2 linked regions of the Schizosaccharomyces pombe genome follow. Changing the gene in region 2 together with the main gene of any one other region gives a genetic interaction. Each region holds a gene or a part of one and is shown on either strand. Other genes may lie near its edges. The genes, in order: wsp1 and dip1.

What was found.
Region 1: mutations in dip1 (region 2) and wsp1 are lethal when combined (synthetic lethality), as found in Schizosaccharomyces pombe (one study listed by BioGRID).

Annotation. Positions count from the first base shown.
Region 1 is NC_003424.3:4,860,558-4,865,630, forward strand, and holds wsp1 (actin assembly factor), read right to left. Parts: upstream 2,951-5,073; 5' UTR 2,892-2,950; coding exon 2,676-2,891; exon of another isoform or gene 2,591-2,675; coding exon 1,250-2,590; exon of another isoform or gene 1,200-1,249; coding exon 1,067-1,199; exon of another isoform or gene 1,008-1,066; coding exon 973-1,007; 3' UTR 696-972; downstream 1-695. Other genes in the region: btf3 (nascent polypeptide-associated complex beta subunit), read right to left, coding at 62-471, 630-675; SPOM_SPAC4F10.16C (P-type ATPase), read right to left, coding at 3,404-3,980, 4,027-5,073. UniProt on the Schizosaccharomyces pombe protein: Has a role in regulating actin assembly, so regulating polarized growth.
Region 2 is NC_003423.3:2,340,584-2,344,883, forward strand, and holds dip1 (endocytosis protein Dip1), read right to left. Parts: upstream 2,588-4,300; 5' UTR 2,568-2,587; coding exon 2,513-2,567; intron 2,418-2,512; coding exon 2,328-2,417; intron 2,208-2,327; coding exon 1,228-2,207; 3' UTR 819-1,227; downstream 1-818. Other genes in the region: coa6 (cytochrome c oxidase subunit VIb related protein), read left to right, coding at 87-266, 413-505; cwf14 (G10 protein), read left to right, coding at 3,121-3,152, 3,223-3,602, 3,647-3,675; msh2 (DNA mismatch repair protein), read right to left, coding at 3,874-4,300.

The sequences.
Region 1 (5,073 bases), on a different chromosome or scaffold from region 2:
TACATATATTAGCACCCAAATCTTGAGTCAAAAATCCGACATGAAATATTTTGTTGCTTATTTAATCTTGTTCGTCAAACTTTTCGACAAGGTCAGGAATTTCTCCATCGTCGGCTTGTGCATCAGCTCCCTTTTCACCTTCACTGACCTTTAATTGCTCAGCCATTTGACGAAGGGCAGTCAAGGATTCAGGACCAAGGTTGTTCAAAATGCCAGGCAAAATCTCAGACAAAGTCTTTTCCTCTGCTTTACCATAGATAGCTGTAGTTTCATTAGGAAGCGAGGAATGAACGGTAGGTGCACGGAAATTAATGACTCCGCCATCTTCCTTGAACATGTTAACCTCTTGGATGCCAGCAAGGTTTTGCATATTCAACTTTTTCAAGGCACCTTGAACCTTCTTGTCATCAGCAGCACTCATGGCAGACTTAGAAGGCTTCTTCACCTTACGACGAGGGGTACCCTTTCCACCTATACAATGATAAGTTAATTAAGCAGTTCTCTATGAAAAAAGTACAACTGTGTTTTCAATAGCCAGCATCAATTACAGTGGAACCACTTTGAAACCGTTCAAGGCATTTCTTAGAGCTGGTGTCAACTTCAAAACACGGGGATGCATTCGAACATACCAATACGAGCGCCAGCCTGCAACTTAGCCAATTTGGAGGGATCCATTTGTTTCTATTTGACCAAACGTTTTTGGTTGTGGAAGGACTTGAACTTGACGTTTCTAAAGTTGTGGTACCGAAATGTGTGACTGCTCCCATACTTACAATAAAGTAAAGATACACACTGTGTTGCGATATATGAATAGTAATATCAACACAAATTCGCGTTATTCAATTTAGAATAAATGGTGTTTGCTCTAATACAATAAACACAAATCCAAATAAAAATAGTGAAGTCGTTTAACAAAACTTTAAAAGACTGTGTGAATCAAAAAAGTATAGGTAATTTCAAAGATATTAATAACTAGTCCCACTCATCGTCGTCTTCATCCTCTTCGTCTGAAAGAATTAGTAAACTTAAGAACTTTTGAAAAAAAATACGAGAAATCCGGACATACCACTCTGAGCGACTTTGGTTTTACGTTGGTTCAAAGCGCTTGCCAATGCATCCATAAGATTGTTAGAAGGGGGTGCTTCTACCGGAGGATTCGAAGTTTTTGTAGATGCGACACTAGGAGAAGCAGATACTTTCTGGAAAATATTAGTACGAGTAACCATTAAGTAATAATATCAATACTTACCCTGCTTTTCAGTAAATCCATACCACCGCTGGCTCTGATACTGGCCATTAAATTAGCACGGCCGTCTTGTTGAGGCAATTCAGCTATCGAAGCAACAGGCGCGGCGGGCGCAGGAGCTGGAGCTGGAGGAGGAGCTGGTGCAGCGGGAGGCAATGGTGGAGCAGCTGGCATACCAGCGGGTAGAGGAGGAGCAATTGGTGCACTAGGTGGTAGGGGGGGAGCAGCTGGTGCGCCCATAGGTAGAGAAGGTGGTGCACTGGGGGGCAAAGATGGAGGTGCACTAGGAGGAAGAGAAGGAGGTGTAGGGACAGGAGGTGTGCTTGTTCGTGATGCATTACCAAGAGGGGGAAGTGCAGGCGCAGAACGACCAGGAATAGCTGGAGGAGGGGCTGGTGGGTTTGAAACTGCACGAGATGAAGATAAAGGGGGTGGTTGTCTCCCAGTGGAAGGAGCAGACCTTGGAGGAGGTGGAGGAGGAGCAGATCTACCTTGAGGCGGCAAAGGAATTGAGCCAGCAGCATTAGATCTAGGAGGTGGTGGAGGTGGAGGAAGAGACGAGTTAGAAGAACCATTACCAATCGGTGGTTTACCACGATTACGACGGGATGGAGGCGGAGGCGGAGGAGGTCGTTTTTTGTTAGCAGCTAGAGCTGCCGCACTGACTCTTGAAGATGGTGGAGGGAGTGGAGGTTTCGAGGTGGAATTAATAGCAGGATTCATCGAAACAGGAGCGATAGGACGGGGAGGGGAGTTAGGAGGAGAAGAGACAGTTCCATTAGATGGAGGTGGAATTGGGGGAGGAGCAGGTGCAGACAAAGAAGGAACACGCTCTGGGGGACGAGAGGAAGGAATGCTTGGAGGGATGGGAGGTGCAGAAGTACTGGTAGGTGTACCAGCTGATTCATTAAGGTACGCTTTGACGAAATCTGCGTTTTCAGCAATTTGATCCTGGGAAATGCCCATCTTCATTAGAGAATCAATTAAGCTCGGATCAAGCGAATTTAAAAGCTCGGGCTCATTGGGACTTTTAGATCCAACAGCATTATAATTTTCCTTTCCAGGTACAGGAGGAGCAGCTGAGGGAGGTTGGATATTGCTGTTGTTAGGCGCATGTCTAGAAGAACCTTTTCTGGTAATAAATGACAAAACCGGATTCTCAATTGATTCAGGATGGCAACCTTTATCTAAAACCTTTTTGTAAAATTTTTGAGCGTCTGTCTCGTTTGCAAAACTAAAACCTGCTAGGCATTTATCAAGCTCGAAAGAATGAAAAAATGTACGATCTTGGCGATAGTCCATATTTTGATAAAGCTCTTGGTCCCATATTATACCACTATTATTCTAAAACGTTAGAAGGTTATAATTCAATTAAATTGTATACCACTCTTTGTAGTTTGCTTTGAGTATCAAAGCTTCATACACATACCACAACGTCAACCAGTTTAAACCAACAGCATTTTGCTGTTGTATCATAGGACAATACAAGAGCACCACAAAGACCTGTATAATTCCATTTGTTCGGATCAGGATAAGCTACATATAGCTTGACGACGGCTGCTGCAATGATTTTATTTGTGCTTTTAGGTATGTATTTACGGATAGTTGCCTTATCCTCTTGAGTTATAGAGGAAGATGGAGGCATTTGAATTTTCGGATTGTAATGCAATTCAAAAATTGCTGTCTCACAGTGGTATAAGTGGTGTTTTGGTTCCTCCCGTTTGTTAGCATTTTCACTGTAGTTAACAAGCCAATGAGTGATAATTAGTGTAGTATACTATACTACGCTATGTACTATAAAAATTTGCAACGCACTTATTAGCAGCTGGTAAATTTTGCTAATTATATTAACTGTTTATAGATTAATAAAACTTGAGACATTAATTCGGGTTTAATATTTTTTACATTCTACATACTTATCGTCCTCATTGTAAAGAGGTAAATAAAATTTATTCAACCATACGAAGTTTGCTTGTCTCATAATGTTAGTTTATTATAAGATTATTAAAAAAATGACTTAATCATAATCATTAATTATTAGAAAAAAAAGGGAACATTAAGAAAAAGTCATTCGTGATGTTGAGGATAATAAAAAGACTCTCGTCCGGTAGGAGTAGTATAACTACATAAACAAACAGTGCGAACTCAGATGTATGGCTACTTATTAGAATCATCGAATGAAACTGAAGTAACAATACCGGAATTTTTTTTCGAACTTAATGGGTCGTTACATTGTTCGCACATTTCTATATCTGTTGCAAATGATGAACTACTGCTAGTCTCATCATCTGACTTTGCACAAAGTCGTCTCCGTAAAAGGTCAATATCTCTAGGATAAAACAATTTTTGTAAGCAAATATAGGAAAAGCGAGGCAACAAACATAAGGCAATGGTTAAAACAGTAACACACCAAAAGCCAAAAGTTTGACAAGTTCGCGAAGCTGATTTGTGGAAAGCGTAAGAGGGGCCAACTTCTGAATAAATAAATGTCCATATCCAAAATACACCTATGCTGAACATCCAAGTAATAAGTGATATTAAATTCAATCTCTCTTGATTCATCAATATAAAAATGTTGATTACAAAAATAGTAGGAGAGGATATAAAAAGTCCTATGTCTTCTATACACTCGATGTTCCTTCCAGTCCAACTTACAAAATCACCAAACTTAAAAACAAATAGAGCTACCCCAAAGCATACCAATGATTGATATATTCCATCTAGCATGTAAGACCTAAAATAAATATTTAGCAAACAGAAATCTTCAGAGTTATACTTACCAAAATCTCTTTCCGTTCCATTCTAGACCTAAAATTCCCCGTTGGTATAAGCTTGGATTTTTCATTGAAACAGATGCGTCAACGTCCTGGTCAAAACAACCTGCAATAATTACGGGTAGTGATGTGAACAGCAGATTAAAAAGCATCACGTAGGTATAATCAAATATGTAGTTTCCATCAAACTCGTTATAAAATTGATACCAAAAAAGTATAAATGTCCAAATAACATTTTTGTAAAAAAAGAATGAAATCATTTGAGACATTCTTTTATAGTCCCATCGTCCATGAACTAGAAGTAGTCGCCCTAGGAAAGAAAATTGACCGATGGCATAATCCGCCGACATTGAAGCTGCTTGCCCTTCAACGCCTTTTATCCCTACTCCAACGTCGGCTTCTTGAATCATCGAAACATCATTAGCGCCATCTCCAATTGCTAAAGTGACAACATTTAGACTCTTCTTGACTAAAGCAACAACAGCTGCCTTCTGAGAGGGACTAACCCTGCAGCACAAAACTGTCTTACACTGCTTACATAACATTAAAAAAAGAAAAGAGACCTGTTCAGACAAAACAAAGTTCAGGGCATCCCCATCAATAACTATGGCGTGTTTCGGAGATGGCGGACTGTGGTCTTTCAACAAAAATCTGAATTCTTCATCCGTTCCCATGTATCCAAAATTAAAGCATAATGTGTTTCTAATAAAAGCTTCTACTTCTTCTAAGGCACCGAAAGAGTTTGCATCAATTCGAAAAATAGTCATGTTTGGATCAAGAAGATTGCATGAATACCCAATGTTGATTGCCGTTTCTACCTTATCACCAGTCAACACCCACAACTTAATTCCAGCAATAGCCAAAAGAGCGATAGTTTCTGGTACATTCTCTTGAAGTTTATCTTCAATTGCTGTTCCACCGAGTAATTCAAGCTCTTGCTCAATCATCTCTGAAACTTTACTGACCTTTTCGTTCCGTTCATGAATGGCACTATTAGCTTCGTTGAAATTCACTTTCCATTCAAGATAATCTTGCTTATCAATAGTTCGACGA
Region 2 (4,300 bases):
CGATTGGTACATTTTAACTATTATTCGTAAAACTCATCACCAAACGGCCTTGTTGAAATTTATTATTCAAGCTTTGTTACGAACTCATGGCTGGTAACGGCGCATTACGAAGAAGTGCTCGAGAAAAATGCTGGGAAGCCAGAGATGCTTACTTTGGTTGTTTGGATAGGCATTCCATTTTGGATGGATTGAAAGATGATACAAAAGCAGCCCAGGCTTGTTCCGCTGAAAAAACCGCTTTCGAAACTGATTGCGTAAAATCTTGGGTATGAATCGCCAAAATTGTAAATGAAATCTGGCTGGTATGAAATGAAACGAGAAATTCCGATTTTGCAATTCTCTTGAATTATTACCTTAAAGATCTCCATTACTTCTTTTTTTCTTTCTCACTAACATTGTTTTTCTGGATTAGGTCAATTACTTTCTAAAGTTTCGAGTTCAACAGCATCAGCAACAAGAAGCTATCAAAAAACTCGAGGCTCAAGGCGCAAAAAAGTTGAATTAGCTGTTCCTGAATACTCTCATACAATCTCATTGCATCTAGGTTTCCCCCATCCTAATATGTTTTCATTTTTATGCTTAAGTACTTATTACTCATCTTCAACTTTGGCAAATCAAACAAAGCGGTATTTTTTTTTTCCTGCCCTTCCTCTGTTTACTCTGTTCTTTCATTTTTGATGGTGAAATTTTTAACTGAACCCTTTCAAAAGAAAGTTTTGTGTTTACGAATAATCACCTATTTTTTCAAAGACGACGATGAATCTAAATTACGTTGTCTAACTTGCACATTTACGATCACCGAAAGTTACAGAAAATGTTAGATGATTGATAGGGGTATTATTAATTAAGCATTCCTATATTAGTTTATGCCATTCTTCACGTTTGTTATTTAAAAATTTTCTTCACTTCTTCTTTTGCAATGGATATGTCTAACTAGAGATTTTCTATTCATTGATATGAAAATTGCAGTGTTTAAACTTTTAGCATTTTCTTTGCATTCCAAAGAAATTTCTCCAAGTTTTATCAATTTTCTGCAAGAAGTAATACGCCAAAACTGGCTTTTCAAAAAACAACAGACTGGCAAAAGGAGAGAGAAAGTATTAAAAAAAAGAGTGGAAAGGAGATTGGTTAAAATTTGCAATTCTTTTTGGTTGATCTGACAATAAATGAAGGAAACGAGTGAGGTGCTTTAAAAAAATAAAAAGTTTTTCAGTAGTAGAATAAAAATTATTGAGCGGTTCCTAATGACTTCATCTCTTGTTGAAGCCACGGTACTTCTAAAACACGTATGGCAACATCTGTAGTACGTGCATCTTCCATGTTGCTGCTTTTTGAGTGAGAAATTAAGACATTATTGACCGCGTCGACTATACACTTAGTTTTGTAATGAGGTGGATGGCGCACCTGTGTATTTTCAAGCAAAGGAATCAAAACTTGCAAATATGCATACCGAAGATCCGAAAGCTCATCGGGAATATTGTTTATTTCGCGTATGAATATATCAATTAGGACATTGAGATCATTGGTATAGAATATCTCATACGTAGCGGGAGTTGTAAAAAGAAGGAATAGTTGTTTTAGTATTAACATTCGAGAGCGTGGATCCTTTTCTCGATTTAGAGTGAAAACTAGGCCTTCACTGTAGATACCGTTATCCACTTTGGAAGAGCTCAGCAAATCCATTATGCCATTTGCGATTTCAAACGAACCTTTGGAAGCAAGCCGAACAAGCATAAACTGTTCATTGATGCTAAGCAATGTCAAGACGCACATTCCAAAACTGTCCATGTCCTCATCATTCCAAGCTTCTTCCGACGTTTTGAATAGGTTTACTAAAAAATATTCATCAATTGCGACTAAGTCGGTCGGTGAAAGTCGTCTCGAGCGACAAATATAGTACACTAAGAATAAAGCATAACGAAAAGATGTAAAAGCAACATTTTCTGAACGATCCTTGAACTGTTTCATTGCCTTGATCAAGACGGGAATGAACCCCGTAGAAGCCAACAAACGCAAGCAGTACTCATTCTCTTGAATTTCGGATTGAAAGACAATGATTATGAATTTCAAAGTTTGTTGTTCTTTCAAGAAAAAAAAGCAATCATAGAAAATACTTAAAACGGCGTTTTCGTCTAGTTGATAAAGCGGACTATTGAGGAACTTTTCCATACATCTCTGCAATTGGAATTCTGTAATTAGGTACGGTTCTATTGAATTTATTTTGTTAGATAAGATGTTCTATAAAGAGACAAACACTCAATTTCTTTGTATTTCATCCATAGGAAAAACACGGAAAATTGTGCTTCCCCAATTCTCCAAAACATTACCTCCATATTTGTTGATAAAAGAAAGAAACTTTGAAACACCAATTTCCAGTTCATTTTTTTCGTATGGTATAGTTAAAAGTTCGTCAATTTCTGTCACCAAATGTTAGCGTCAACGGGAATACTATTTAGCCAGGATAATGAATCCCAGGCACATTCAAGTTTACAATTATGAATAAATTGCATACCCGCCAAAAATTGCTTTTCATTCTCTAAATTATAAAACACATCCGTGAACTCCATGTGGAGGTTAGGGAAGGTTTAATTGCCGCTTTCTCATTATCGAGCCTAGTATTCAATAGACAAAATTCTCGCTAATATCCATCGATAATCAACTTTAATATATGATTAGTAGTCAACACAACAGAGCGTCAATGTTATACCATGAAAACAGTATTGTAGTATTATAGTATACAAATGCATCTGGTTCCCTTTTGGCCATATGTTAAGGTATAAAATATAGTGGAGACACAAATTCAAAAATTCTCAATTATCCTCAATTGAAGAGGCTATAATTTAATTAACGGAGAAAAAACTTAGTTTCTATAGTTAAGAATATCTTGCAACAGTTTCAATCGCGGCAGTCTATTTTACAAGGAATTTACACTGGATTCTCACAAATCCAACTTGCCCATAAGTACACTACCACCAAATAAGTAAAAGGATAAAAACTACCCATCACTAGATTTCATTTTATCGGTTTCTTTATATTTAATCTCTTTAAAGCAAGCATTCCTTATTCTGTGTTGGTTTATTGAAGAAAAGTCGTAGTTTGCTTAAAAAATATTCTGTTATCATGCCTCGTCTTCGAACGTCAAGAACCAAGCGGTATGTATACCAAGTATTTTCCTTGTTACCTTTATTTTTACCTACGAAGTAAGATTCTAATTAGCTATAGCCCTCCTGACGGATTTGATGAAATAGAACCCACCCTTATTGAATTCCAAGATCGTATGCGTCAAATTGAGAATACAATGGGAAAGGGAACTAAGACGGAAATGCTAGCACCGATTTTTCAACTTCATCATCAGCGCAGTCGTTATATATACGATTTATACTACAAACGGGAAGCCATATCTACCGAACTTTACAACTGGCTGCTAAAACAAAATTATGCCGATGGAAATTTAATCGCCAAATGGAAAAAACCAGGATACGAGAAACTTTGTTGTCTGCGCTGTATTCAAACCGCTGAGTCAAAATTTGGTTCAACGTGTATATGTCGTGTACCTAAATCAAAACTTGATAAAGATCAACGTGTGAGATGTACTCATTGTGGTAAGTAAAGAAGTGCTATTGCTACCAGTTGCTAATGAAAATAGGTTGTAATGGTTGTGCAAGCTGTGATTAATTGGAAAACTAGTGGTTCGTTTCCCATTTATATCTTTTTATTTGGTTATTATGGCAAATGAAACAGTTTTGGGTTATAAAATTCATTGATCTATGGCTTTTCCTCGTTTTAGTAAAAAATTATTTTATTCATAAAATGCGCTTCCAAAAAACATGTACCTTGGTTGAATTCTTTCAATTAGTACCTTGCTCACATTCTTCATGAGGAAACCTCATTTGTGGATACCCTGGATTGTAGCCAGTTGTTGGAATTGATTTGCTGTGCGAATGAGCCGATGACTTTTTGAAATTGGTCCATCATTTGTTGCTGAGTCATTTCTGGTTTGACGTTGCTACGCCATTGTCTCATTATATCACGTACAATTGCCATACCTTCTTTTTTAGATTTCACTTCTTGAGTATCCCCTTGGGCTCCAGAGTCTTCAGCTTCTAATTCTGCGGCTTTGTTGCTTGCCATTTCAATAATCTTGGGAGGGAAGTGCGCAAGTTTAGCAACATGGATTCCAAAACTCCGATCACTAGCTCCTTCACAAACATTATAGAGTAAAGCTACATCCTTCGATTCTGAATCACCTACATAGGCTGTAACATGCAAATTTTTGACAGTAGTGATTTCTTCTGATAGT